Mytilus edulis: one gene and its partners. The protein of the gene in region 4 interacts with the protein of the main gene of each other region in a biochemical or structural test. Links are inferred from orthologs where the notes say so. Each region holds a gene or a part of one and is shown on either strand. Other genes may lie near its edges.

Evidence for each region. The genes of interacting proteins can lie anywhere in the genome.
Region 1: the proteins of E3 ubiquitin-protein ligase parkin-like (region 4) and Parkinson disease protein 7 homolog form a complex in vitro, tested with the Homo sapiens proteins (2 studies listed by BioGRID, with this or other methods). The link is inferred for Mytilus edulis from reciprocal best matches to the Homo sapiens genes PRKN and PARK7.
Region 2: the proteins of E3 ubiquitin-protein ligase parkin-like (region 4) and E3 ubiquitin-protein ligase NRDP1-like form a complex in vitro, tested with the Homo sapiens proteins (2 studies listed by BioGRID, with this or other methods). The link is inferred for Mytilus edulis from reciprocal best matches to the Homo sapiens genes PRKN and RNF41.
Region 3: of the proteins of E3 ubiquitin-protein ligase parkin-like (region 4) and eukaryotic translation initiation factor 4B-like, one has a biochemical effect on the other in vitro, tested with the Homo sapiens proteins (2 studies listed by BioGRID). The link is inferred for Mytilus edulis from reciprocal best matches to the Homo sapiens genes PRKN and EIF4B.

Annotation. Positions count from the first base shown.
Region 1 is NC_092356.1:41,317,069-41,325,218, reverse strand, and holds the start of Parkinson disease protein 7 homolog, read right to left. Parts: upstream 3,156-8,150; 5' UTR 2,989-3,155; coding exon 2,905-2,988; intron 1-2,904. Other genes in the region: forkhead-associated domain-containing protein 1-like, read left to right, coding at 3,606-3,701, 5,367-5,573, 5,970-6,014. UniProt on the Homo sapiens protein: Multifunctional protein with controversial molecular function which plays an important role in cell protection against oxidative stress and cell death acting as oxidative stress sensor and redox-sensitive chaperone and protease.
Region 2 is NC_092357.1:19,894,915-19,902,667, reverse strand, and holds the start of E3 ubiquitin-protein ligase NRDP1-like, read right to left. Parts: upstream 3,156-7,753; 5' UTR 3,040-3,155; intron 1-3,039. UniProt on the Homo sapiens protein: Acts as E3 ubiquitin-protein ligase and regulates the degradation of target proteins. Polyubiquitinates MYD88. Negatively regulates MYD88-dependent production of pro-inflammatory cytokines.
Region 3 is NC_092345.1:41,811,031-41,819,319, forward strand, and holds the start of eukaryotic translation initiation factor 4B-like, read left to right. Parts: upstream 1-5,134; 5' UTR 5,135-5,148; coding exon 5,149-5,161; intron 5,162-8,289. Other genes in the region: leucine zipper transcription factor-like protein 1, read right to left, coding at 4,898-4,900. UniProt on the Homo sapiens protein: Required for the binding of mRNA to ribosomes. Functions in close association with EIF4-F and EIF4-A. Binds near the 5'-terminal cap of mRNA in presence of EIF-4F and ATP.
Region 4 is NC_092353.1:63,687,054-63,694,510, reverse strand, and holds the start of E3 ubiquitin-protein ligase parkin-like, read left to right. Parts: upstream 1-4,417; 5' UTR 4,418-4,475; coding exon 4,476-4,655; intron 4,656-7,457. UniProt on the Homo sapiens protein: Functions within a multiprotein E3 ubiquitin ligase complex, catalyzing the covalent attachment of ubiquitin moieties onto substrate proteins. Substrates include SYT11 and VDAC1.

The DNA of each region.
Region 1 (8,150 bases), on a different chromosome or scaffold from region 4:
CATTTATCATTTAAGACCTCTTCCATTAGCCATTTGTACAAATGTAATGAATTGTCAATCATAACATGTATATAACTGTTGTCTCCTGCTCACTACTGAGAGATGGAAGAAGACCTACAAGATACACCTCCAGACTTTTTCTTGACAGTACCCGTAGTTCTTTAACCTCTGTCTTTCGGATATCTGCCACATGTTTATGCTCGATCAGTGTTTTGACAATAGAATCCGTGGTGACTCTGGGTTTACACGATTTGTGGTACATTCGTAAGATATGTTCTTATGTTTCAGGACACTAAAGTTCCGATATGTATGGCCCTCGATGATTAAAAAATTTACTCCTCGGTTTCAGTGTGTAATATGTCCATCATGTTACAACGAAGTTCCAGAACAATATGAATCAAAATAAACTTATTTAATCATACGTTTTTTGATTGAGTTAAGTCTGCCAATTGATATTTTATCGTATGTTTTTCTTTGTTGTGATGTTATGCTATTGTTTCAGAAAAAGGGAGAAGGTTTGAATCCATTAAAACGTTTAATCCCGCTGCAAATGTTTGCACCTGTCCTAAGTCAGGAATCTGATGTACAGTAGTTGTCGTTGGTTTATGTAATATATACGTGTTTCTCGTTTCTCGTTTTGTTTATATAGATTAGACCGTTGGTTTTCCCGTTTGAATGGTTTTACACTAGTAATTTTGGGGCCCTTTATAGCTTGTTGTTCGTTGTGAGCCAAGGCTCCGTGTTGAAGGCCGTACTTTAACCTATAATGGTTTACTTTTTAAATTGTTATTTGTATGGAGAATTGTCTCATTGGCACTCACACCACATCTTCCTATATCTATTAAACATAAATAAACAACATTTATAACCAGATTTTATCAATGGTATAGTACAGTACATGTACAAGTATTAAATTACCTGTAAATCTAATTAGGAACAAATATAAAATCGGCGCAAATGAAAAAATGAAATTGGCGCAAATGAAAGAATGAAAATTTTCAAATTGGCGCAAATGTCATACGCCCATTAGCACATACTTACAAGTTCTCGTCCAATCAAATTGCTTGAATTTGCCTTCTAATTTTCATAGTACATACTTTTTCCGTGTACTAAGTAACTACGCATGAATGACCACAAGGGTAAGATTTCATTGTATTGTAATCAAGATATTAGAACAAAAATTGCTACTGGCTATTTTGAAATAAATTATGTGTTCCAAATTTAACTAAATAGTTTGTAATTAGTTTTCAAACAGATTTTTAACATCCTACTAATCAATCTTTTGATCTAAATTTTGTTTTGACAATTAAAAAAGTTTCTTTCATTTAAATAAAGAGTAATAATAATGGTGCTTTATACCTTGATTAAAGTACAACTCAATCTAAAATTTGTAATCCTTTATCTTCCATGCAATTACTTTGTACACAAAAAGAGTCAACCATGAATCTTTTAAAGGGAAATTATTAATAAAGAAATTTGATATATTTAGTCATAAATTGGTCGATAATTGGTTGCCTAATGTCCAGTGACAAATATTTCATGCATATAAACTACCTACTAGACTACCTATGGGTACATACCATGGGCAGATCCAGCCATTTTTTAAAGGTGTTTCAACCAAAGATGTGGGACGGGGATCCAACTGTTTGTGATAGTTTTAGGTTTTATGTGAAATTAAAAAAATGTTTTCAAGAATGTAAAGCTTTCACTGCAATTTAAGAATTGTCTGCTCTTGGTCAATTCATTTTGTCATCTTACCATGTAAATAAGTACATGTATAGTAAAACAACGTTTTCGTTCATATCAATAAACATACGTACACCAGCAGCTACCTTCTTTACATTCTAAAGTCAAGGGCCTTTTGAAATCCAATTTTTACAATGATATTATAGTGAGTAGATTTACAAAACTACGTAAATGAGCTACATCCAGTCAGCCAAAACATATCAATAGACTAATTACAGGATTACTCAAGTTGTAAATATGTGCTAAATTGGATATTGTATAGAAAGGTATATACTATGAAAATAAGAGCTTTGGGGCAAAGCCCCTCGCTCTAATTTTCATAGTATATACCTTTCTATACAATAACCGAGACCTATTCCTTTTGCTGTTGATCAGGTGTTCAGATAGGTTTACAATAGATTGCAAGTTTTGTCACTTTAGCAGAAAACTGGTTATCCTAATTTTTAGTAAAGTGCATATGTTGATGCATATAATGCTAGAGATTATAGCCAATATAACTAGATAATGCCATTCTGCCCTAATTTGCTTTAAATCCAGTGCAAACAAAAATAACCCTCTATAGAAGGATAATTTTATCCCTCTAAAGAAGGATTATCCCTCTATAGAGGTATAATCACCCTACAGGGGGTTTGTTCCCAACCTGTTATAGAGAGATCATAATCGGTAAGAGATAATTTATGTACAGTTTTAAGAACAATATTTATTTTAAGAAGAAATATTAAGAATTGTAAAAGTATTTATAAATTAATATTTATTCTAATTAACTTTTTAATTTAACAAGTTACTTATGAAGCGTGAAAGAAAGTGAATCATATTGTTTGATTAGTATTTAATGCCTTTAGTTTTTTAAGTTATATTTTTACTTACGATGTATGTTTATGTGTATTTTATTTTATTGAAGAGAATCGGTTGTTATGATATAGTATATTTAGCCATATGTAGTTTTGAAGAATAAAGATACTTATATAGAACGCATACTCGACTTATCGCCTTATTTGATGTCTTTGATGTGATCCGTTACAATAACATGTACATTAAGATACATAAGTTTATTCAAGCGGGACAGATTCTCGGGTCTGATAGCCGGGAATAGCGATAAGGTGTATTATTTTGGGCCGATTATAATTTTGGGACTCAGCCTAAGCATAAGGTACGTACTCCTCCCCGTCTTAGAACATCCACTGTGATGACGGTTTCCATTTCTTCTGCCCCTTCGGCGAGTAGAACAAGTGCACTTGGCATTTTTGTTTTTGCTAAAAGCTGTCACTTGGCAATTTAATATTTCAAAGTTGTCCAAATTTTATTAAAAAATATGTAAACATTAAATTCAGAAGCACAATGCAACTTGTTTAACCTCCTAGTTACTTCGTTAGTTTAAACGTATGAAAGATACAGATTTTTTATTCAATAATCTCTACTAGAAAATTTTTGTAAAAATTATTAAAGTGTACCTTCAACATTTATATCTTACATAACACTAGAAAAGACAATTAAAAATATAGCCTTTATAAGATTAAAACTATTATTCAGAGATAAAAACAATTCTGCTTATTTTTGTATCCAGGTTCGAGGTTTCGGATGTTTGGTTGTTATGCGCTATTGGGCATGCGCAACATCACTCGCGCCGACAAAAAACTTGTTTATTCTGCATGTAAAATAGAAAAACAATTGATTCTGACTTAATTTACTAATCCCACGTGGAGAATTTAATCCTACATTGATAGAGTCTGCAAATATCTCATCAAAACTGACAACTGAAGAAATATTTTCAGGAAACACGTGGGAAAACGGGCACCTGTTCATGAGTATTTGGTAACCCGAGCAGCAACCAAATGTAAACAACTTTCTAGAGTGTCAAGATGAAAGCATTTTTAAAAGGAAATGATGGGTCTGCATTTACTTTAGCCCCCAAAGTGACAACAGTTGGACGTGAAGGTTGTGACATCAACTTACAGGTATAGATTTATTGAATATTCATATATTTGAAAAAAGTGTAGTACACAGAAAAACCACACTTCAAGAGGGGTATGATCCTGGATCTGGCTTATTGTTTTTTGAGAATTCCATATCCTGCTTCTCCATGCCACAATAGTGCATGTTATCTCACGTTTCCCGCCAGACTTTGTATCCTGTTTTCACGCTTTTAAATTATTCAACTTTTACGTGTCCCACTAAAAAAGGAAGCCAAGCCAATCCTGTGTCATGCTTAGACCTCAATACACCTTATTGCTAGTTGTCCGCTATTACTGAACATCACACAGGTTCCCTTAAAATTTCGACGTCATAATACAAAATATCTGACGCCACAATGGAAAAGTGATTGTTGTATGACGCCAATAGTTCAAGCAGGACCGATACACCTTATCGCTATTTCCGCTTGACCCGAGAATCTGTTCCGCTTGAACTATTGGCGTCATACAACAATCACTTTTCCATTGTGGCGTCAGATATTTTGAATTATGACGTCAAAATTTTACGGGAACCTGTGTGATGTCCAGTAATGGCGGACAAATAGCGATAAGGTGTATTCTCAGGTCAGCTGAGAATAGCGATAAAATTTTGAGACCCACTTCAAGTATCTGTATAATACTGGAAATGAACTCAAAATACTGAGTAAAACTTATCCAGGAAGTGTGTGTGCGCCACTGATGTAACTAGTCACACGATTTATAAACTGCCTTTAGTGCCTTAAAACTTTCCACAGTTTTACAGTTCACGGTAGTATTTGGTAGTAAGTTCCAGTCAATGATAATTTGTGGAAAAAATGAATGTTTATATATGTCAATATTTGCTGATAAGAGTTTTATTTGTTTGAAGTTCTGGATGGTCTAGTATTAAATTCTACGTGATGTTCAGTGGGGATGGCTACCAGGTCAGTCACTATTTTGTATAGTAGTACCAGTCGTTGTTAGCGTCTTCTTTCCACAAGAGGTTTCCATCCAAGGTCCTTCATCATGAAGGTGACACTACTCACTTGTCTCTGAAAAAATCACCTATATTCATGTACCTTTATATTAAAAAAGATGATCAAATCACTTTTCTGAGAGTAGTCTGAGATTACTCTGACGTCCAACAGCTGTTTTGCCAGGCCCACGGCCCCAGCTTGTCTGGCAAACAGCTGTTGGACGTCAGAGTAATCTCATACTAGTCTGAGAGTATCAAATTTCATTATATTTTGGTTCATGGTTGTTCATCCTTCAGAATGTAAGAGGGTAGGAATGCCTCTTATGTTTAGTATCAAACAGTCATTTGCAGCTACTTTTAATGTCAAATTTGTTGAAATTACAGTGTGAATTGTCAGGGGTGTCAAATAAATTACTCTTGCATGTCTTGCCACTATGTTTCAAAATAAATAAAACATATTTCGTCAAAATCAGATGATTTTTTTTCAATCATCAGTTAAAATTGTACATTTATCATCATGCATCAAAAACTATCATTGGCATCATTTAGCTAGGTATTTTACCATTATTCCTAATGAAGGTACTCCTACCATGACCCGCCTGTAATGTTTTATATTCCTTGATCATTCACTTTTTACACCTTTTACAGATTATTTAGCTTTGTAAAGTTAATATTGTTTTTCATGCTTTTTGAATGATTATTTAAACTAATTACAGACACAAGGTGTTGACCTTCAACATAGTGTTATTGAGTACAGTGAACAAGAAGATGGTTATGTGCTGCAAGATCTGAACACATCCCAAGGAACATATGTAAACGAATGTAGAGTTCAGAATGCAACTGTCAGATTGGCGCCTGGAGACCTAATTAAGTTTGGATATAATGGTGTACCATTCACATTAGAAATTGAAAATCCACCACCAGTAAGTGAATATTTATTAATCTATTGTAATGCCACAAAAGTAAATATGTCAGAACTTTGCCCTTGCAGTTAGAACTACGTTTTGTGGTAGTCAACATTATGCCCTTGTAGTAAGAACTAAGATTTTAACAGGTGTTCAATAACAAAGATTTCAGATTAAATTGTATGCATACATTACATTTTAAGTAACAAAATTTAAAATTAGGAGTTACCTTTAAAAACCAGATGCCCAAAATCAGAAAGAAAAAGCGCAGTGGTATATTTGTAGTTTATCATCTCCTCCTAAACTGTTATTTATTATTCATGTTTACACGATACACAGGCTCAAGTTTCATTATCATAGTTAAATGATAACATGTAACTTCATTTCTTATTTGTACAATTCTCATTTTAATAGGAGCGACAGTTTTCACAAAGTCAGTTATTAAGATCATCCACTCAGGTAGAGTAACATTGTTAATATTTCACTTCCAATAGACCTGCATGTTCTTTTTCTCTTGGTGATGGTTGTTTTTCCTTTCTATCTTGTCTATAGTACATTTAGCCTTATTGGCATACAGGCACTTTAAAACATTTTGATACCAAACATGTAAACATGCAGTGACAGAATGCAAAATTTTCACTACACTCTTTTTGCTTGCTTTATTTTATTAAGGCAAACATGGAACACAACATTTATAGTATATCTACATGTATGTTCATATTTTAAAAACAAATATCCTTTATATTTGTTTGAGGATAAAAGCTTGCTTTCACTAGTGCATCAAAATTACACAAACAATAAGAATCTAGAAATATTAAAAGGCTTAAAATTAAAATATCTTGCAATTTATATAGTGAACATTTAATTTACTGCATGTTGAAATGGAATTTACATACAGACTAACAGCAGTCACAAAAACAAATAGTGCATACATCTTTTAAATGTCTTTAAAGAAGTTAAAAGAACCCTATCTTTCTCCTACTTTTTATCATTAGCTTGTGTATATATTTCAATTTCATAAACAACAGCATTAGTGTCAGACATAGTTATAAACAAACCTGTGTTTTAGTAACTTTAGAAAATATATCTTGATTGTCCTTTTTTTGGAAAATGATAGTAAAAAATCAGAAATAATTAACTATGTTAAAAGATTGAATACATATTGTAAATTTCTGTATGATGGTTTCCACCTTCTTATTCAGACAATGAAAAGATTCATTAAAAAGAGTCTGTGTATTCCCTTGTAACTTTGGTGTTGGTGTTTTTATGTGTTCAATAAATTTACAAAATACATGAAATATATATTTTTTCCGTTTGTAATTTGTATTGAACCAATTTGTCAATTAACACTTTCACTTCACACTTTACATGTTAATTCATATCTTGCTAGGTGTGATAGTTTGGAATATCAAGTTGAACATTTTTGAAAAACATTGTAACATTCACCACAATTGTTACTTCACCCTACCATATTCTCCACTCCAAAGTATCTTTACTGGAAAGCTTATTTTCAAGTCTTTCATGTTGAATGTGTTGAAGACATTGCTATCATTCATAATAGATGACATAATACATTGGCATTGATATTTTACTGTTGCAGGAGGTTGCTAATAGAAAATATGCTGTACTAGATCAATGAAAACTGTGTCAAAAAAGATACAACTTCTTATTATGTTTCTGCTGTTATGAAAAAAGGGACTGCAAGTACATTCCAACAAGTTAATCATTTCATTTAATAATATTATAAATGGTACATTGTACTACAGTTTTACAGAGTCAAAAGACAAATTCAAGTCAAATTGGATTGAGAGTTCAAGTTTTCCTTAGATATCTTGAATACAGTTGACACACTTTCGTCAGCTCTTCCTATTCCTTTGTTTACTGTTTTTCTCTCTTTTCTGTAGAAAACTTCTTTCTATCATCAGTTATCTAGATATCGACAGGTATGTCCACATAAATCATGTAATATAATATTGCTTGGAATGACAGTTACAAAGGTATAACTACAGACAATAAGTCTTTTCAAGTTGTGCCTCACCATCAAATATTTACAAGCTTGTGAAATTATGTGTGATACAATTAAAGGTAAAATCTATGATATTTTTTAATGTTTTCTATAAGAGTTAATATACATCCACCAGCATATGTCAGCTCAATGCTTTTGGTCAATCCTTAGATAAAAATATTACAAAAATAATATATTTCCTGATCTGGTTTTCAGTATAATATTGTTATACAAAAAGGGAAATTCCACACATTCAATACATTTAGGATTATTAAGATAGATAACTGTTTTGGCATTATTATACATTTAATAAGCAATCTATATTTGTAGATCTCTGCAAAGTACATCCATGGCTTGAGACAGTCATGTCATTTTGTCTGCTTGAAACTGTACATACATGTCTGTCATTTCTGTACTCTTATGAACTTTATTCAATCATACTTATAGAATTTTGTTAATTTTATTACTTTTATGACATTTATCATACACAATTAAGATAAGTTCATTACTGCTCAGCATTCAGAAATAGATACATTATTTGGTCTGCTGTTTTAGAATGTATTGATTAAATGACTAAATAGCTAGGGTAA
Region 2 (7,753 bases), on a different chromosome or scaffold from region 4:
TGGACCCTACATGTATAACATAAATTACATAAATAAACTTAACAATGAGTAATTTTGCATAGGAACCATTACAAAGGATCTTGGTGCAGCAACATCATAACTGCAAAAAATATGTGCTTACTCTGAACATGCTGAAGTTGAACAGCAGAGAGCGCAATTTAAAAAATCCTGACATTGCCTAGGGTCTGGGAATAACCCTAAATATTTTTAGAACAAATCTTGCAAGAGGAAGGTGATTTCAAGAACTGGCGAGCCCTAGCCTGAATCCTGCATTTAAACAAATATAAATTTAAGTACCTTAATAAATTACCATGAGCAACAGTGTACCATACAATTGTAAGAGGAAAAGCGTAGAATATATAAGAGACAAGTTGTGTCAATTATGACCCTAGGATCAGGATCAAAACTTTTCAAGTTACATGCTGTAAGTGTGTAACAGGAGTGAAAGTTGTGATGTTTAGTTTGTATATAAAACTATATAATTCCTAGCATTTCCCATCTTGTTTCCTATTTTCCCTGGTTCTGAGATATTAGTCCTATAATAATTAATTCCTTAGAAATTCTGATGGTTTATTAAACTATTGATTACATCAATATTGTCCATACATGCCATACACTTTAGATACAATTCAGTGGTTGACGTTCTTACCATAAATATTATTGTTTCCCCAAGGGTTTTCTAGCAGCTGTCAGTATGAAGTATTAAATCGGGGTTCTCTTGGGACTAGGCACTACCCACTAAAACACCTGACCGGGCTCGGGACCAAAGAAAGTGTCCCGACTGGAAGTACAATATAATAGTTAGAACGTCAATCACTACAAGTCAAGTGTCATAGACTCCTAATAAGCAATTCAATATATATCAAACGTCAATGAAATTAAATTTTAAAAATCTAAGCTTGTTTTTAGTATCCCATTTGTTTGAGGGTGGTAATCACTAATGGGGGTGCCTTCATGACGAAATTGTTTTTAGGCAAATGACGTAAACAGTAATATTTGGTGCATGACGATTAAATTTACATTTTCTTCAGACGATAAAAATTATCAATTGATATTGATGATTCACGTTTAATTTGTCCAACAATTGACGCTAACGATAATTATACATTTGTTATGTGAGACCTCTGACAAATCACAATCAGAATTTTTGACAAATCACAGTAAAAATTTTACCAATTTGACAGTAACGGTACATGAAAAAGACCGTTTTACGCCTGACAGTAAATTAAAGGGCATATAATTACTACCCCTAGTATTCGATCCAGTACAGTGCCAGAAGATTGGAAACAAGCAAACGTAACAGCAATATTTAAGAAAGGAAGCAGATATGATGCTAGTAACTATAGACCCGTCTCACTCACCTGTCTATGTTGTAAATTCCTGGAACACATCATTGTCAGTAACACCTTGAAACATCTAGACAATCACAAAATACTTACCAACTGTTAACATGGTTTTAGAGCAAGACGAAGCTGTGAAACTCAACTCATCACGTTTGGCATGAGCTTGCATCAGCTCTAGACAGAGGAGAGCAGATTAATATGGTTATCCTTGATTTCTCTAAGCATTTGCTAAGGCCTTTGATCGTGTCTCACATACATGTAGACGGCTGCTCAACAAACTACAGCATTATGGAGTTACAGGACAAACACATAAGTGGATTTAATCGTTCTTAGCCAAACGTACCCAACAAGTCATGGTTGAGGGAGAATCTTCAGAGAAAGTTCCTGTGGTCAGCGGAGTCCCCCAATGGACTGTACTTGGACCGTTACTATTCCTCCTATTCATTAATGACTTAACTGACAACATAACATCCAACACACGACTATTTGCAGACGATTGTATAGTATACAGAACGATAACATCTACTGTTGATACTAATGTAGTTACAAGAAGATCTTAACAAACTTGCAGAATGGGAAAAAACCTGGGGCATGGACTTTCACCCACAGAAATGTAGTGTACAATCTACCACTAGATCACGTTCACCAATAATACACTCATACACGCTTAAGGGACAAGTGCTAGAAAGATCAAAAAGTACCAAATACCTTGGAGTCGACATTGAATCAGACCTCTCCTGGAAACAACACATCAATAGCGAAACCAAGACAAATGCATATGTTGCAATGGTCAGATCCAACTTAGACTACTGCGCAACAGTATGGAATCCACATTAAAAAGAGCAAGTAAAAAAGGTTGAAATGGTCAAGCAGCCGCTATAGGAACACCAGTAGTGTGGGCAGCATGTTAGAAGAACTAGACTGGGATTCATTGGAAAACAGAAGAGTCAAATTACAGCTTACATTACTCTACAAAGTTGTTAATGATCTTGTGGACATACCATGCGACACGTACTTAACACCAATGTCATCGAGAACAAGATCATCACATACAAAGAAGTTCCGGCAATATTCAACCAAGACTAATGGCTACAAATACAGTTTTTTCCCCAAGAACAGTGACAGTTAGGAACACACTACCAGCAACTGTAGCTGAGGATCCCTCCTTGGTATCTTTCAAGAGGGAGCTTTCAACACTTTCTATCTAATCTGTGCATTCCCCCATTTGCCAAGTAAGTCAAAATGATGGACTGGAGCTGTGCCGGCTGGGATTATTTTCCCTGGTACCCCCACGGAAGATATTCTTTGGTTATCTTACAAAATTACTCTTTTTCTTGCGCCCACCAGAAGCGTTGACTATTGGTCAAGTTTGACAGATCAACTTGGAATGTAGATGTACCCTCATTTGTTTGTATTGGGAATATTACTTGCACATAGATTTTTTCGAAAGTCATTCACTGTCAAAACAATCCATGTATGCTTTGAGGGAAATATTAGGATATTGTAGTTCCGATATTGAGACACTTTCCGATACAGGTAGTTATTCTTTGAGGACTTTGTGTCTGTGATTTAGGGTTTGGGAAACCACCGTCTCCTGGTTCGGCCTACTTCGACAAAGGAGTCAGGCAGTATAATTGGGAAATTTATAATTAAAATAATAAGTGATGTGTTTATTTTTGCTTGAAACCAATTTTACCAGTTCAAATGAAGGCAAACTTCTGTAATAGTGGATAATCAGTGTCTGTTTTTCTTTTCATGATGTCGCCATATTTTCATCAACTTCCTGCAAGAACAATAACTCTGCTAAATCAGTAAGTTTTTTTTAGCGGGAACTTCAAACTCGGGTCGTATTATTTTTTACCCAAAACTAACTTATGTTTTAACTTAGTTTCATTTATGTATTAAATGCATTTGTAAGTCGTTGGACAAAAGTGAGTACCCACTCAAAAAATGTCCTATCATTTCAACTAAAATCGCACCACCAAACGGTGTATTTAGGATTTTGCTATATACACGGGTCATAGTCACAGGGTTGACACTGACTACTAAATTCAATCATTGTCAAATTGTTCCCTATTGTAGTATTTTAATTAGTAAGATAATAATACGAATACTAAAAATATGGACCTAAAATGATAAGGCGTTTATGTACAGTTTCGGTTAATTTGGTAGCGGGCATGACGTAAAACAGCGAATCAAAGAATTCAACTTTATTTATAACTAATGTAGGACAATGCTGTTGATTAAAAAATACTCCATTCCAAGACCTTTTATTTTCCAAATAATTAATATTACAAATAATTGATAAGTTCCAGGTCGACGGGTTCAAACAGAAAGTAGAGGAAACTGTGTATCTTATAATCGGCAGTACTTTATATATCATATGACAATACTAATACTAAAATAAGGCTAACGCATAGTTATATACTTCAATTCAGTCAAGGACCCGCGATTTCACGGGTGTGTTCTAGTATGATAAATGTATATTCTTTTCCCGAAACCCCCTTTCTCAGTTCGTCTAAATCCTGGATCCGCACCTGGTGACTGCTATGACTATGATCGTCCAATGCATATCTAAAAAAATAAAACATGTAAATATGTCCACTACAAACCAATCGCCTATGAAACAAGTATTGGAGATTTTGTCTTTTTTTTCAATTATATTCGTGCAAAACAAAGAACAAGCTTTACGAAACTTTTTGTCCACTACGACCGAAACGGTTTTGTCCACTACGACACTCATCAAAATGTCCACTGCGTAACGTGAGTTGTACCTTCATATTGCCATATATCATAACTTCCTTTTAAATTTACCTCTTCGCTCATTCCCATATTTTGTGGCATTCCTAATAGTTCTTGGGATTTTTTTGTATTATAACATAGTTCGTGTTTTCCCATTTACAAATTTCTTGAAGCTGGTTCACCTTTCAAATTTTATGATATAATAGTATGTAGCTGTTTTCATTAGAACTATTTTAAATAATATAAACAGAAATGTCATAAGATGTTGAAACGTGATTAATTCATCACCATAATTTCATCATATACTATCAGATATACGTTTTAGTGTCAATATAAAAAAAACACTATCCAGTTACGATTATCTTCTCATTTTTAGCTGCTTTATCTTCTCATTTTTAGCTGCTTTTCTCACCACTTGGCGTCCGTCGTCCGTCGTCGTCGTCGTCCGGCGTCGTCCGTCGTCGTCGTCGTTAACAATTTACATTTTGAACTTCTTCTAGAGAACCACTGAATGGAATGGAACCAAACATGGCATGAATGTTCCTTATGAGGTGCTGACCAAGTGTTGTTACTTTGTAGTCGATCCATCATCCAAGATGGCCGCCAGCGGGGGACTTAGTTTAACATAGGACGCTATGGGAAATGCATACAAATGACTTCTTTTAGAGAACCATTGAATGGAATGAAACCAAACATGGCATTAATGTTCCTTATGAGGTGCTGACCAAGTGTTGTTACTTTGTTGCCGATCCATCATCCAAGATGGCCACCAGCCGGGGACCCAGTTTAACACAGGACCCTATGGGAAATGCATACAAATGACTTCTTTTAGAGAACCACTGAATGGAATAAAACCAAACATAGCATGAATTATCCTTATGGGGTGCTGACTAAGTGTTGTTACTTTGTAGCCGATCCATCATCCAAGATGGCCGCCAGCGGGGGACTTAGTTTAACATAGGACCCTATGGGAAATGCATACAAATGACTTCTTCTAGAGAACCACTAAATGGAATGAAACCAAACATAGCATGAATGTTCCTTTTGGAGTGCTGACCAAGTGTTGTTACTTTGTAGCCGATCCATTATCCAAGATGGCCACCAGCGGGGACTTAGTTTAACATAGGACCCTATTCGAAATGCATACAAATGACTTCTTCTAGTGAACCACTGAATGGAATGAAACCAAACATGGCATGAATGTTCCTTATGAGGTGCTGACCAAGTGTTGTTACTTTGTTGCCGATCCATCATCCAAGATGGCCACCAGCCGGGGACCCAGTTTAACACAGGACCCTATGGGAAATGCATACAAATGACTTCTTTTAGAGAACCACTGAATGGAATAAAACCAAACATAGCATGAATTATCCTTATGGGGTGCTGACTAAGTGTTGTTACTTTGTAGCCGATCCATCATCCAAGATGGCCGCCAGCGGGGGACTTAGTTTAACATAGGACCCTATGGGAAATGCATACAAATGACTTCTTCTAGAGAACCACTAAATGGAATGAAACCAAACATAGCATGAATGTTCCTTTTGGAGTGCTGACCAAGTGTTGTTACTTTGTAGCCGATCCATTATCCAAGATGGCCACCAGCGGGGACTTAGTTTAACATAGGACCCTATTCGAAATGCATACAAATGACTTCTTCTAGTGAACCACTGAATGGAATGAAACCAAACATGGCATGAATGTTCCTTATGAGGTGCTGACCAAGTGTTGTTACTTTGTTGCCGATCCATCATCCAAGATGGCCACCAGCCGGGGACCCAGTTTAACACAGGACCCTATGGGAAATGCATACAAATGACTTCTTTTAGAGAACCACTGAATGGAATAAAACCAAACATAGCATGAATTATCCTTATGGGGTGCTGACCAAGTGTTGTTACTTTGTAGCCGATCCATCATCCAAGATGGCCGCCAGCGGGGGACTTAGTTTAACATAGGACCCTATGGGAAATGCATACAAATGACTTCTTCTAGAGAACCACTAAATGGAATGAAACCAAACATAGCATGAATGTTCCTTTTGGAGTGCTGACCAAGTGTTGTTACTTTGTAGCCGATCCCTTATCCAAGATGGCCACCAGCGGGGACTTACTTTAACATAGGACCCTATTCGAAATGCATACAAATGACTTCTTCTAGTGAACCACTGAATGGAATGAAACCAAACATGGCATGAATGTTCCTTATGAGGTGCTGACCAAGTGTTGTTACTTTGTAGCCGATCCGTCATCCAAGATTGCCACCAGTGGGGGACTTTTGAATGAAATTAAACATGTTCCTTTCCTTATAAATGAGGTGCTGACCAAGTGTTGTTACTTTGTTGCTGATCCATCATCCAAGATGGCCGCCAGCCGGGGACTTATTTTAACATAGGACCCTATGGGAAATGCATACAAATGACTTCTTTTAGAGAACCACTGAATGGAATAAAACCAAACATAGCATGAATGTTCCTTATGGGATGCTGACCAAGTGTTGTTACTTTGTAGCAGATCCATCATCCAAGATGGCCGCCAGCGGGGGACTTAGTTTAAAATAGGACCCTATGGGAAATGCATACAAATGACTTCTTCTAGAGAACCACTAAATGGAATGAAACCAAACATAGCATGAATGTTCCTTTTGGAGTGCTGACCAAGTGTTGTTACTTTGTAGCCGATCCATTATCCAAGATGGCCACCAGCGGGGACTTACTTTAACATAGGACCCTATTGGAAATGCATACAAATGACTTCTTTTAGAGAACCACTGAATGGAATAAAACAAAACATGACATGAATGTTCCTTTTGGAGTGCTGACCAAGTGTTGTTACTTTGTAGCCGATCCATTATCCAAGATGGCCACCAGCGGGGACTTAGTTTAACATAGGACCCTATTCGAAATGCATACAAATGACTTCTTCTAGTGAACCACTGAATGGAATGAAACCAAACATGGCATGAATGTTCCTTATGAGGTGCTGACCAAGTGTTGTTACTTTGTTGCCGATCCATCATCCAAGATGGCCACCAGCCGGGGACCCAGTTTAACACAGGACCCTATGGGAAATGCATACAAATGACTTCTTTTAGAGAACCACTGAATGGAATAAAACCAAACATAGCATGAATTATCCTTATGGGGTGCTGACTAAGTGTTGTTACTTTGTAGCCGATCCATCATCCAAGATGGCCGCCAGCGGGGGACTTAGTTTAACATAGGACCCTATGGGAAATGCATACAAATGACTTCTTCTAGAGAACCACTAAATGGAATGAAACCAAACATAGCATGAATGTTCCTTTTGGAGTGCTGACCAAGTGTTGTTACTTTGTAGCCGATCCATTATCCAAGATGGCCACCAGCGGGGACTTAGTTTAACATAGGACCCTATTCGAAATGCATACAAATGACTTCTTCTAGTGAACCACTGAATGGAATGAAACCAAACATGGCATGAATGTTCCTTATGAGGTGCTGACCAAGTGTTGTTACTTTGTTGCCGATCCATCATCCAAGATGGCCACCAGCCGGGGACCCAGTTTAACACAGGACCCTATGGGAAATGCATACAAATGACTTCTTTTAGAGAACCACTGAATGGAATAAAACCAAACATAGCATGAATTATCCTTATGGGGTGCTGACCAAGTGTTGTTACTTTGTAGCC
Region 3 (8,289 bases), on a different chromosome or scaffold from region 4:
TCTCCAAATGACCGTAGATCTGCTCCAAATAACCTTTTGACATCAACATGATCAAGCAACAATAAGTGTTTAATTATGAAGTCAATCTTTTTTAATTGTCACAAATGAAATGTTATGTCAAAGTTGTGGAACTTGTGTGATCTTACGTAATGTCGGGAAAAAAATAGCATACATGTACAACTTGTAGAACTTTGTACAAGTATTAATATATCTATTAAACAAGAGGCAGTCAGAGAGACAGCAAACTTGATTTTCCTGCAGAGGTCAAACCCTGAACAGTTGAGCCACAAAAGTATAGACACAAAATTTAAGCTTAAACAAATCTGAATACACCTTATCGCTATTTGTCCTCAATTACTGGATATCACACAGGTTCCCGTAAAATTTTGATGTGATGAAATAAAATACCTGACGGAAAAGTGATTGTTGAATGCGTCAACCGGGATTAGCTATAAAGTGTATTTGAAATGTGATTGAATATTTGATACAGCATGGTTTGTGACACAATCCCTTTCTTCCTCACAAATTTTTACTTTCTTCATCTATCAATATTGTAACCGGAGAGCACAAATTTCATTACAAAATTGCTTGTCTCCACTGGGACTCAAACCTGGGACCTCTGTGTAACAGGGCAGTGCGCTAACCGACTGAGCTAAAGAAGTACTTCCTTAGCTCAACCGCTTACGGCTGACTAAGTATCTTCTAAGTTTTTCTAAGGGAAGCAATCCTGTCACACTTCCCCCACCTCAAGAGTCATTATACTCTATAATGATGATATTTTCATCTTTTTTATATTTATATTTTAACCTGGCTAGGTAATTCTTCTAACCGTGGGTTATTATTGTTGGGCGCCAATGTAACCGGAGAGCACGAATTTCATTACAATTTTGCTTGTCTCCACTAGCTCAGTCGGTATACACGCTGCCTTGTAACACAGAAGTCCCGGGGAACGAGTCCCGGTGGAGACAAGCAATTTTATAATGAAATTCGTGCTCTCCGGTTAAAATATGATAAAAAAAATATATCAATTTATTAAAAAAATAATATGAGGCAGGCATAACCTGTGAATGGGGACGAAGTCTGTATGATTTTTTTATAAATCAAACATGTTAAAAAGAGAAACAGAATTACCGTAACATTTCCGATTTTGGTTCTGTTGTAAGGGATTTAGTTGTGACGTTATAACGTCATATTCAATGTAAACAAAGAATGTAACGTTTCCGATTTTGGTTCTGTTGTTAGGGATTTTAGTTGTGACGTTATTTAAGTTATGACGTCGTATTCAATGTAAACAAAGAAACGCTGTCATCAGGTAACGTTTTTTTTTATAACAAACAATTTTTTTAAAATAAATTAGTATTGAGTTCCTTTCTTATACTGATAAATATACATTTTATTCAAAGTCTCATGCAAACAAGACCGGAAACGGAAGTAGATTTCTGCACAGATCCGGAAATTCAAAAACGCAACAAAAAAAAATTGAATGATTTTGAGTTCATTAGTACAATGAAAATATCGGGAAAATTTTCCCGATTTTTTTTTTTATTGAATTTTCTACTGTTTTGGGGACTTTGTCCCCATATTAAATGCATATTTTTTATTCGTTTGATTTTTAAAAAAAATTCATACAGACTTCGTCCCCATTCACAGTTAATGCCTGCCTCATATTAAAGTATAAAGGTGGGGTTTTTTTTTTATGAAGAGACAAGTGTCTGAGCATAGGATACAGAATCACAAAATTCAAAGCCAAAGGGATGAGATTGAAAAATCAAAGTGCTGGATAGCACCTCTGGAAAGTTTGCAACTGTAGCTGTGTATTATTCCAAAAAGGTTATAGACGTGTATAATTTCAAAAATGTATTTCATCACAGCTTGGATGTTTTAAACTTAACCATTGTCTTGTCAGTAATTATCAAAAATCACTTTTTTCATGTTTGTCATAAAAAGTTTTGATATTTTCTATTGCAACCTAAAACTTTAGATCTAAAATATTGAAATATACAGAAAGCTCAGCCTCTGATAATTTCTTTTTATGTACCCATGCCATGTCAACATCAAGGGCCTGTGAATTAGTATTTTTCTATTGGTTTAGATCCTTCATATTTGTTTTTAGTAAATTAATACGTATAATTTTTGTTGTTTAAATTGTTCCACATGTTTCATATCGGGGCCTTTTATAGCTAATTTCTACATGTATATGGTACTAATATTTCTCATTATTGACAACCATATGGTGGCCTATAGTTATTAATACATTTTCCTCCTTTGAACTCTTTTGGATAGCATTGGTTCGTTGCAAAAAAATACCGCATCTTTTTTTTTTATAAATAAGACAGTTACAGTAACTTAAATCAATACAACTGTAATGAAAGTGAATTTATATTAAAGGCTTTTATCAAAAATAGGGAACGTGTCCATGGGACACAAATGATGCCCCCGCTAGCATTAACGTTATAAAGTATCACAACTCAAGAACTGTAAATGTGACGCTACCAAAATTTGTACTTGATCTGATGGGGTAATAAGCATTGTGTATACATTCTAATCACACAGTATTGCGCAATAGATTTGTAAGATCTTGACATTTGTTTTATGTCAGAAACCTATATATTATGTCAAAAATTTGATCAAAATCCAAATTCAGAGCTGTATCAAGCTTGAATGTTGTGTCCATACTTGCCCTAACTGTTCAGGGTTTCGACCTCTGCGGTCGTATAAAGCTGTGCCCTGCGGAGCATCTGGTTCCATTTCTAACGAGGCACAACCCTAAAGAGCAGTAAAAAGGACTCCACCAAAATTCAAACTTGATCTTTGTTTTATTGTTTAAAGTATTGTGTATAAGTTCCATAACATTTGGTTGAGCGAACTAAAGTTAGATAACTGAAACGAAAATATTCAGCAATTTTTTACATATGTAAAGGGGCATATAACTCTAAAATGGTAGAACTATCGCCACCAAAATTCAGACTTGATCAGTGTTTGTGGTAATGAGCATTGTGTATAAGATTCATAGCATTTGGTTCAGGGGCGGATCCAGCCATTTTAAAAAGGGGGGGGGGGGGGGGTCCCAACCCAGGATAAATGGGGGGTTCCAACTATATGTCCCTATTCAAATGCATTGATCGGCCAAAAAAAAAAGGGGGGGGGGGGGTTCCAACCCCCGGAACCCCCCCCCCCTGGATCCGCCACTGTGGTTAAGACAAACTAAAGTTAGAGAACAGAAACAAAAATTTCCACCAACTTTCCTATTTGTAAAGTAGCATAAAAACGCTAGAATGGTAAAAGTGACGCAACTAAAATTCAAACTTGACTTGTGAATTGTGGTTATAAGCATTCGTATTAGTTTCATACAATTTGGTTCAGGCAAACTAAAGCAAGAGAACAGAGACGAATTTTGGGATGTACGGAGGTACATGTACGTACAAGTAAGGGAAGGACGTACATACATACAGCAGAACAAGGATTAAACTCAATACGGCGGGAGCAAAACAACAGCAGTATGACCACAGGAATAAAAAGTTTATATACACTAGATTCATAGAGGTGCTTATAACCTGTAAAACATTTAGTTGCTGTTTTGAAATTAAGCATTGTCTTATGAGTTAAGAACATTTGAGAATTTTTGTTTTAAGCCATTCATTTGATATATTACGGTAATCACTGCCTCTGAGTTTGGGTGACTAAGCAATTGAAATCTATTTATATAGGGCATGGTATGCCTTAAAACTTTTCCAGATGCACAGGCCGCGATTTGTCTGTAATCTATCTAAATTTTGAGGTGAAAATGCAGCCATTTTAGCCAAAGGGTACACAGCATGAACCTTAATAATTTCTATAGAACTTGTCTTGATACCCTGAGCTATAATATTCGAAGAAGTAGATGCTGACTCGGTTGCTTTTAATATGGATGCTATATGATATGAATTTACAATAACACACCAGAAGTGGTATGATGTAAATTATTGGAAGAAGACTGAAGAAGAACTGACGTTGGGTCAATGTTTTTCTGCTGTCAGTTTGATCCACTTGAGCATGCTGAACGAGTAAAGTTCCTTACATCCACATTGGAATGTGAAACAATTAGTATTTAAATAACGGAATGAAGTTTTCAAATGATTTTTAGCATCAAAATCTTCCAATCGATGTTTAGACAAAAACAATCACGGCATTTTTAAATTTTTATTTTTTATCAAAGCCGGTATTTACCTTTACTCGTGTATTTTATATTCTTTCAACTGTGTTTTGTTTAAACAAACCATTATCACTTTTCAATTATCCGACGGCTTGGTCAAAATGTCAACTTGTTCTCGCATTTTAATCAGTCATTCTCGATTCTTTCGATACACTCGGGATTTTACCACGTTTACGTACGTACATATAGTAAACAGGTAAAAGTAGAGCGGGGAAATGTTCATTCATGAAATATTCATGAATGAATGAAAACGTAATCTCGCGTAGATTTCTTGTGATTTTCTCTATAGCGCATGGCAGATCCGCGAAGTAGTGTTTGTAATACTCATTTTTAAAATGAAGTTAAATTCATCTGAATCGTCGGTGAATATTCATTTCTTTTTATTCAAGCTGTTATCTTTTCAGTCAATACAGTAGTTACTCAAAATTTTAAAAGAATCTTCCAAGAATCATAACTCAAACACTAGTACTACACTATCTCGGAGCAGAATATATTGCGATAATCTGTCAACCGGAAGTTTGAGGCCGACGGCTAAGGAAAGTAGCAATAGCAAGCTATAGCAAACTTTCCAAAAATTGACTGTATGACATGACCGTGACAAGACAAATTGAGCATTTAAAATGCACAGGCCTACGTCACTGTAACTTAAAGTTTATTTTTCCTCGAGTGCTAGTTTTAACTCAATATACACCGTCTTGTAATTACCATGTTTTCTGCAAAAAAAGATCGGACAGCAAGTTGTGGATTGTGGACGGATGCGACGAATGTGAAACTCCGCATCAAACGGAAGTTCGTATTAATAAAGAAAAAAGTCAATGTTATTCATCTTTTATGCATAAAACTATCAATAAATATTTTATCACAAAATTATTAAGATAAACTATCTGTCATTATAATTTATAACAAGTTTTAATTTGATCGAAATGAAAAATAAGGTTTTATTTATTCACTGCAAAATGGCGGCACAGGGTAAAGAAACATGTGCCGAGAAAAGAAAAACATTCAGACCCCTTTTTAAAGCCATAATGTCACAAACATTTCACAAATCATCCTTAAATTATCCCGTTATGCGGTGTATTTCATTAAATTTCACCGATCTTGCTCTGAAACACTGTCTGACAGTACCATGTGGTTATGAACGTTGGACGTGTCCTTTCGTTTTTTGTTGACATGTCAAACAAGATCTGCAGTCACTATAAGACTAGCATGGTTGTTTTATTGATTAATAGCCAGAAACACATTTATTTAATCTCCACTTAGACAATATGATCCAAGCACAGGGGTTTGTTACAATTGTCGGGTTTACTACCCATACGAACCCCTAAAAATGGGGTTCATACGAACCCCTAAAAATGGGGTTCGTATGGATAATTTGTAAACATTGTAATTGTAACAAACCCCTGTGATCCAAGTGTACATGGACAGTTTTGGGAAATCCCTTTAAGGGGACGATCACAGGAGATTGAAAGACTTGGCGATAAAGGTGTATAATTCTGCCAAACTCGAAAGAAGCTCTACTGTGATAGTCAAGTTAGGCACAATTATACACCTTCATTGCTAAGAATTCAATTCATGTGGTACGATCCCCATGCATTATTTGGTAGGTCTGGGTTCTATAGTTCTGCATTCCTTCCCAGAACACATTAACACCCTGTATGTTTGCTCCTTGGGTCTGTTCGCACTGTTTTTTTTTTATTAATATACCAGTTGATTTATTTTACGTCTTAATTTAACTTTACATCATTAAAATGTTATTTCGTATTGGCTCCTTAGATATAGATTTTGAGCATAAAAGTAATATATTTATATTTTCATAAATAAAATTAGATATTCATCTTCGCTAACCAAGGGTTACGATCCACTCCCGTTCTCTTCACCCTTGGCAGATTGAGCCAACATTTGTTGAATCCATGTTGCGCCATCTATCGGAAGATTAAAGTCACGCCCATTCCGAATACATTATTCTTGACCAATGGTAGCACTTGAACTCTTCATTTAGGAGGTAAAAACACGGTAGCGTCTAGATTCTACCCACTTGGTACAGCCGTAAAATATACGTCAACATTCATGCATTTGTGCATGAAACATACACAGGAACTTCTATTAGTTGATTAAAAACATTCAAGTTGTCACTAAATATAGTCGTATGCTTAGTGATGTAAAGGCTTGTTGCACAATAAACACGTGGCAATTGTTTACGATCACTTTCTACATTTACACGTGATCATGTTACAGGCGCTTATGATTGGATGCAGCGAGTTTCTACTGCAACCAATAAAAATCCTTACCTTGTGTCTCCGAAATATTATCTCAATCCGCCAAGGGTGAAGAGAACGGGAGTGGATCGTAACCCTTGGCTAGCGAAGATGTAGATATTAGGCAGCAACCATTTGATTTTCTGGAGGGGGGGGGGGGGCAGTGATCTGGAAGGATTTTTTCTCTATGGGCCCAGGGCCCCTCAAAATTAAATTCAAGGGGCCATTTTAAAAAATAATGGGCCATGTTGTCAAATGAATGGGCCATTTGAATTGACTACAGTGAAAAAAAATTAAAAAGTGTATATCTCGGCAAAGAGATGGTGGTACTTACCTTTATGATTCTAAATAATATCATGGATATTGTGCCTGTGATTTTGTTATTTCAATTTCAAAGAATGTAAAATAACTTCTTCCAAACCAGACAATATTTAAGATAACCTTTATTTACAATGTTCCTACTGGTACTGTTGTCTTGTTCATGTTCATGGTTTTATTTACATTAAATTTGGGTCTTCGTCGATACCATCCTTATTCCCGACGTTCCGTATTAAAGGACGTTTCTGGCATTTCCTCTGCACTTCTTGTATTATTATAACTTCATCACGATGACAACAATAACAGTAGAGAGTATCATAAATTGATAAAACAAAACAACAATTCGCTGAAGGCATGTTTACAAAATGTCAAGACAAGCCAAAGACCAAAAAGTGACAAGGACAGTTAGTCGCCTTTTATGGAGACAAAAACTATATTCATATAAAGGCTTTGGGGTTTTTTAGAAAAAAAAATTGTTTGTTTCCCCCTCAGATGCCACTATATGTAATGCTAAAATTAGAATAAAAAAATTGTTTTCGACTTGTCGTGAAAAAAATAGATTAGGCGGAGAAAAAAAAGTTTGTCCAGAAAAAAAATCCATAGCTCCCCCTGAAAATCTAATGGTTGCTGCCTTAGAAAAATCTCTCTTCAGATGTACAACATGTACAATGTATTTCTAAAAATGTTTAAATGAATGTCACTCAATTATTAGCTCACCTTGCCCAAAGGGCCAAGTGAGCTTTTCCCATCACTTGGCGTCCAACGTCGTGATCCGTGGTCGTCGTCCGTCGTCGTTAACTTTTACAAAAATCTTCTCCTCTGAAACTACTGGGCCAAATTTAACCAAACTTGGCCACAATCATCATTGGGGTATCTAGTTTGAAAAATGTGTGGCGTGACCCTGCCAACCAACCAAGATGGCTGCCATGGCTAAAAATAGAACATAGGGGTAAAATGCAGTTTTTGGCTTATAACTCAAAAACCAAGGCCACCCTTAAAAAATTGTTTGTTTGGCATTGCCGACCCACACTATCAGCAGGTGGGTAGGTAGGTAGGGATTTTTTTTTTTTTTTACATTTAAAAGCTTTATACATGTAAATCATGAAGTCTCTAGACCAATGTTGTCTAAAGCATTGCAGCATTGTTGTGTGTACATGCTGGTGTATTCTTTGAAAGGGGTCAACCGTCAATGTCACATTCTATATCATATGGATAATTTCATGCAAGAAAGTCAGTTTTATTGGCAGAGTAAATCAAAGTACCCAGAAAAAACACAGACCTGAGGCAGGAAACTGACAAATTAACCATATAAGATGTATGACATGAAAATTGAACGTTTATTGTGGGACTGCACATTGAACAGAGGCCTGATGTCACATCTTGAAGTTGTGGTCACAGTTTGGTAAAATTACCATAAGTTTAATGGCTCAACCACTACGGCTCCTTGTACAAATGGACAAAGATTTAAAACTTTGATTGTTTGCCTTGGGTTTATAAACATCCCATCTACACCATATGGGTAAT
Region 4 (7,457 bases):
AACAAATATAGTAGACCTATTGCATATAGTATGAGAAAAACAGACCAAAACACAAAAATTTAACTATAACCACTGAACCATGAAAATGAGGTCAAGGTCAGATGACACCTGCCAGTTGGACATGTACACCTTACAGTCCTTCCATAGACTGAATATGCTAGCCCTATTGCTTATAGTATCTGAGATATGAACTTGACCACCAAAACTTAACCTTGTTCACTGATCCATGAAATGAGGTCGAGGTCAAGTGAAAACTGTCTGACAGACATGAGGACCTTGCAAGGTACGCACATATCAAATATAGTTATCCTATTACTTATAATAAGAGAGAATTCAACATTACAAAAAATTTGAACTTTTTTTTCAAGTAGTCACTGAACTATGAAAATGAGGTCAAGGTTATTGGACATGTGACTGACAGAAACTTCGTAACATGAAGCATCTATATACAAAGTATGAAGCATCCAGGTCTTCCACCTTCTAAAATATAAAGCTTTTAAGAAGTGAGCTAACACCGCCGCCGCCGTAGCCGCCGCCGCCGTAGCCGCCGCCGGATCACTATCCCTATGTCGAGCTTTCTGCAACAAAAGTTGCAGGATCGACAAAAAGTGCTTGTTATCACTGAATGGTAAAGATTGTTTTAATTTATCAGTTGGTAGTAAAAGTGAATATATACATTGTATATTGTATAAAACAATGATTTAAGTTGATTCAACTACTATTCTGGACAAAGAAAGATAACTCCAATTGAAAATTTTGGACCCTTTGACCTTAATGTAGACCAATTTGAAAACGGGACCAAAAATTAAGAATCTACATACACAGTTACATTTGGCATATATCAAAGAACCCCAATTATTCATTTTTTGATGAAATCAAACAAAATTTAATTTTGGACCCCGATTTGGACCAACTTGAAAACTGGGTCAATAATCAAAAATCTAAGTACATTTTATAGATTCAGCATATCAAAGAACCCCAATTATTCAATTTTTGTTAAAATCAAACTTAGTTTAATTTTGGACCCTTTGGGCCCCTTATTCCTAAACTGTTTGGACCAAAACTTCCAAAATCAATCCCAACCTTCCTTTTGTGGTCATAAACCTTGTGTTTAAATTTCATTGATTTCTATTCACTTATACTAAAGTTAGTGTGCGAAAACCAAGAAAAATTCTTATTTGGCCCCTAATTCCTAAACTGTTAGAACCAAAACTCCCAAAATCAATCCCAACCTTTCTTTTGTGGTCATAAACCTTGTGTCAAAATTTCATAGATTTCGATTAACTTAAACTTAAGTTATAGTGCGAAAACCAAGAAAATGCTTATTTGGGCCCTTTTTGGCTCCTAATTTCTTAAATGTTGGGACCAAAACTTCCAAAATCAATCCCAACCTTTCTTTTGTGGTCATAAACCTTGTGTTAAAATTTCATAGATTTCTATTCACTTTTACTAAAGTTAGAGTGCGAAAACTAAAAGTATTCGGACGACGACGACGCCAACGTGATACCAATATACATGTACGACCAAAAAATTTTCAACTTTTGCGGTCGTATAAAAACTAGATGTTTCAAGATCAGCTGATATAACCAAAAGCATTTCAAATGGTAATTAAGGGTACCCTCCCAACCCCATCCCACACCAAAAAATAAATAAAGGGGGAATGTGACCATGGGACACAAATGGAAGATGATCCCCACTTGCATATTATGTTATATAGGGACATAACTCAAGAACAGTAAAAATGAAGCTACCCAAGTACAACTTGAGTTATGAGGTAGTAAGCAATCTGTACATAATAAGTTTCATAACACTTGCTTGAGTCAAACTAAAGTTAGGAATAAATATAAAATCCTTTTCGAAAGAAAAACTATATAAAAGCTTAGTTTGGACATTTTTATAGTAATTCAAAATAAAACATTTTACCTTTAGTATGGTAATGGCTATAATATAACTATACAGCTTGATAGACAAATTTAGTAATAACATCATTAAAGTGGAGTTAAAGTCTTATAGGATTGTAAGTATATTTTATTTTATCACCTTGTACTTTCACATTTTGACTGAACAATTTGTTCAATATTCTGACCAGTTGAACAATTTGATTTTATAAAACAAATTGCGATTTGGTCAAAATTTTGAATGAGTTGCAATTGGTGGATAGCAACACTAACAGTCAAGTCACTGTAGTATGATTGTTTTTAGTTAAGATTTTTAATAGAGTAGAAATCGTTTTTTATTAATTGCACTTATATTTTTGGAAGTTTTATTTTTATCGTTAACTTTCAATAGAATTATGTTGAAATAAAACTACATTGTCCTCTGCTAAGATTAGTTAAAGATAACAGTATTTTCCAAAGAATTTATTACAGTGTAGAAAGTTAATTGTTAATCTTAACAGGATTCCTAAATTTTATGACACCTTCAGTGGGTCAGTCTTAGTCATTTAGAGCTCAAATAATAGTCGTCTGCAAATGCAGCTGTGGCGATTTAATTACTTTGTTTTGATCATCTCTGGGAATCAGGTTTAAGTAGTGTAAAATTGTATGTCAAATGGTCAGACTTAAACAGATCATGTCTTTATCATGTGATAAGTTAACACGAAACAATGTTGTGAAATTGTAATATGAAATGATTTTAAATATTGGATTAAAAAGCAGTTATTAACAAACATTCGAGTTAGTTATATGTAATGGATATAATAATTCTATTTGTTTGACCCTTTCACCGATGAGTCCTGGTTTACCGAGATTCACGCTTCAGACAGCTGACGATGAGTCCTGTTTTACCGGGATCGGAATACCTCTTTTATTTATATTTCCCGCTCAAAACAGTGCAAACACGAGTTATCTTTCTTTGTTGAATACCCTGATGAAAGTGTAAACATGGCGCTTCCGTTTGTTGAAAACCGTGTCAAAATCAATGGAAATTTACAAGAATTAAAAATTTAGGAACATTTTTGTAAAAAGAATATGGAAGAATTGAAGCCAAACTAGTAAACTGAAAATGTCGTTTTATGTACACAACACTTGGAATGGACATCGTTGAGTGTAAGGAATTTGTACAGCCTCATTTCATTTTTCAAAATTTTGCCGTTTTGGGTTAAAAATAATGATTTTGGGTCAAAGAATAGATCTTTCAGAATTTCAACTAGATCATGCCGAAAATTTGAAAATTTTATGAAGAAAAAAATATCAAACATGAACAAAACTGTGAACATGGTGTTAGTGAATGAAATAAAGACACAAATAACTACAGACTAGTTTTTATTGACATTTATTATGAAGATCTCCCTCTTGAGTAATAGTAGCCAGGGAAGCCATCGTCTCAGACAGAGTAGCTTCTGTCTGGGCAGCTATCGGTGAAAGGGTTAACATTATTGTCGAACTCCCAAATCGTCAAACTTTATATGAACAATTTATTCCACTTTCAAATCGTCTCCCCAACAATTGATGATGATGGTGGTTACCATTACAGTCTGGAAACTGTATATATATAATGTATAATGTTATCATACCTGTAATTTCATGACGTCACCACAAGCAGGAGCACCAACCAATCCCGTTCCCACATCTTTGTCGTTTTTATTCATAGATCCAACATTTCTGGGATTCTCATAATGATCAATTACCTGTTATTCAAATAAAAATAATAAAAGTTGAATAATTTTTTGTTTGAGTATTTGAATAGAATATGCGATTCATTCTATTTGTCATGTTTTACTACAATAATTTAATTTGAATAGAATATGTGATTCATTCTATCTGTCATGTTTTACTACAATAATTTAATTTGACTGAAAATCATCAAGGGAGACAACTTTTTAACTCTTTGGCAACAACTCAAATTTCTGTCTGCAAAATCATGAAAATGTCATGTCAGAAATAAAGGCAGAATTTATTTGTAACTGTTTATATGGTTCACAAAAAAATGCCTATTCCAAAACAACTAATCTGATATCATAATCGAATAAATGAGTGTATAATAATGTAAACTTTCGATGAAGGACTTGGCATTGCATAACTTTTATGTAAAACTAAGACAACATCTACAATTTGTACAAGCAATCTTTATTGACAAATAAACGTGTTCAGATACATTTAAATATATATTCTTACATTTTTGTGATAAAGTGCAACTAACGACGTAGTTCGACTTTCTGTTACTGATCGAAGAAGTTGTCCTCCAACTCGAAATAAAGCCATGATGTTGTTTTGCATGTGGTCTGATCACTACTTCCACGTGACATCATCCGCCAATATAGTTTTTATATTTTAACATCTATAGATAAAATTTGATTGTCCATTAACATTCATTAATAACCGTATAACTTTCAAACACTATTTAAATTGTTTGATGTCCGCTTATAATTACATTTGTAGCTGTTTAATCAGGTATAATTATGCGTAGTAATATAGATATCTACTTTCACTTCTGAATTCTGACCTGAAATTGAAAGTAGGTGACATTGCTTTCAGATGACAAACATTGTAATAAATGTAAAATACAATGTTTCTTCGTCTTTTACAATCGAAGTAGATACTGACTGGAATGTATGGAAAGTGAAAAGAGAAATTTCCAAAAGAATTAAACTACCACCTGAAGAAATACAGTTGATATTTACAGGCTGTGTATTGAAAAATGATGCTATTTTAAAGGTGATAAAGGTTTATGATCACTACAAACTTTTTTTGGTATCAAGTACCCCACCCTTTTCATATATTTTGTTTATCAAAAATATGTACCTTGTCATATATGAGGGGGGATAGGAGAGGTCTTGATCCCGAAATCCCGGACTTGAAAAAACGAAATCCCGAGGTCCTTTCGGGATCTGGGAATTTAAATAAAGCAAATCCCGACATCACGAAATCCGAAAAAAAGATTCACGGATCCCAAAAGGGTCAATCCCGAAATCCCGAGCTTAAAAACACCCGATCCCGGAGTCCCGATAAAGGTCCTATCCCCCCTCATATATATCAATTAACAAAAAACAGACCTATAGATATATTTGAATATTTTTCATTTTCTGGTACATTAGTATATAGATTCTTATTTTACTTTCACTTTCTCTTTCTATTTATATCTATAACGTCGTCATAACAACCTCTATTGTTCAGCGAACCACACAACCGCCAAATTTGTACTTCACTGTTTGATTTCATGTATAATATTGTCCTGAAGACACCACCCTTGTTGGCGAAACATGTCGACCATAATAAACTCTTACCATGCCGTAATTGATCGGTGTTGTTGTCTTTGTTATTGTTTTATGTTTAATATTAATTAAAAACTGATAAAAGTTACAATGCCGTTCCCTCTTACAATGGAATTTCTGTAAATAATTGTTTAATGTTTTATGTATACAAACCCTTGAATGTTAATTACAGAGGCGGATTTAGGGGGGGGGGGGGCCCTTTTTGGGAAAAAATTTGGTTGCTTATATAGGGAATCACTGAAGAGTGACTGGAGCGGGCCCCCTCTTAGGTCAGTCAGTGGGCCCCCACATATGAAAATTTCTGGATCCGCCACTGAATTAGGTGCAAATGTCAAAATGGTCGGATTTATTGCATCTATCACTGGCATCAGTGGAAAAACCACATCAGAATAAGTAGAGTTTAATTGGTTTGACAAATAAGTGATGCATTTACAACTGTGGTTTAACGCATCAAAAATAAATACGAACATCTGATTAGTTTTAGATACTTATGATATAATCAAGCAAGTGATAATATCAACCTATTGATATATTTAATTCTGAATTTCTTACCCTTTTCATATATCATAGAGCATGAAAAAGTGACCTATTGCAGCGGCTCATCCCTACCACTAATTATATAGTAAGTGACACCCCCCGAGCTTTTTTTTTAAAAGGAATTTGATGAAAATAAAACCAAGTTTTTTGTAGAAAATCCACAGAATTTTTTGTTATAAGATTTTTAAAACACATTACTCTCTGGTTTTTCTATGATGTGCTAGTATTTATTATTTACAAAAAGTCCTGAACAACAAGGCCGTAACTAGGCATTTTATTTTAGTGAGGCAAAATAATTGAGCGGAGCGAAGCGAGGCGAAAATTTTTTTTTGAGGGTATGAAATGAATGGTGTAAAATCCTGCATTCTAGGCATTTTTAGAGAGTTTGATAATGTTTTGAATTTGAACACTTTATATAAATTTTTCATATTTTAAGACTTTTACTAACACCAACAACTTTATTTAAATTTATATGTAAGATAATCATCCAAATATCACTGATTTGAGTCTGCTGCCAGAACATAGAACAAACATCGATTCAGTAGAGTTTGCCAAATTTTTCTATTGCCGGTTCAGTCAAATCGTTTCAGAATCATAATTTGGTCTACTGGTATCCTTATCGCGATGAACATGGAGCATGGCAAGACCGCACAATCTCTCGCCACTCATGCATGCTCTTTTCCAAGTTTTCAGTCGTTTCAGGGCAGTCTGTGTTTCTAAAGGTAGCACATTGTCATCAACACAATGATCAATGTCTTCTTCCAATTCCTTCTCCATCAGCAATTCGGTAGCAGCATCGGTAGTAACAGTTTTGTTTGCAAAAGGGAATTAAGCTTTCCTGTAAGAACCATCATACAGTCGCAGTTTCAAAATATTCAACTCGCTTTTATGCTGACAAAGAGTAGACAAACTAGGGATAGAATGAGATAAGATACAGGTATATGATTCTATCTATAGAGTAAGTATATCTGGTATGGGTACAGGGGAAATTGGACTGGAGTTTTTGACGTTTACATGTAGGTCTGTAATTTCCAATTATTTCTGGAAATAGTTGGTGGTATTTTAGTTCCAGAATCTATAAATTTAGGGGTTAGGGTCTGGGGTGTCCGATTCCGAAACCCAGAATATAAAGAAACGAAATACCGTAGTCCCGAATAAGTAAAGACAAAATCCTGTGTTAAAGGTTCTACCATTCGATCCTCAATAATATCAAATTGGAATATGGGATATTCTTTCAATTTTTAAGGTTAAAGAAACATGGATAACAAGAATGTGTCCAAAGTACACGGATGCCCCACTCGCACTATCATTTTCCATGTTTTATGGACTTTGAAATTGGGTAAATATCTAATTTGGCATTAAAATTAGAAAGATTAAATTATAGGGAACATGTGTACTAAGTTTCAAGTTGATTGGACTTCAATTTCATCAAAAACTACCTTGACCAAAAACTTTAACCTGAAGCGGGACGAACGAACGAACGGACGGACGGACGGACGAACGAACGAACGGAGCCACAGACCAGAAAACATAATGCCCCTCTACTATCGTAGGTGGGGCATAAAAACTAATCCATGGATGTTTCATATTATTTATATTTTATTTATTTGTAAAGAGAAAGATTAAAGTTCGTGAAATGAATACACAGACAGGACTGCTCCCTTGCGATGCCCAGTACTTGATTTGTCAAAGTTGGTGAAACGGAGAA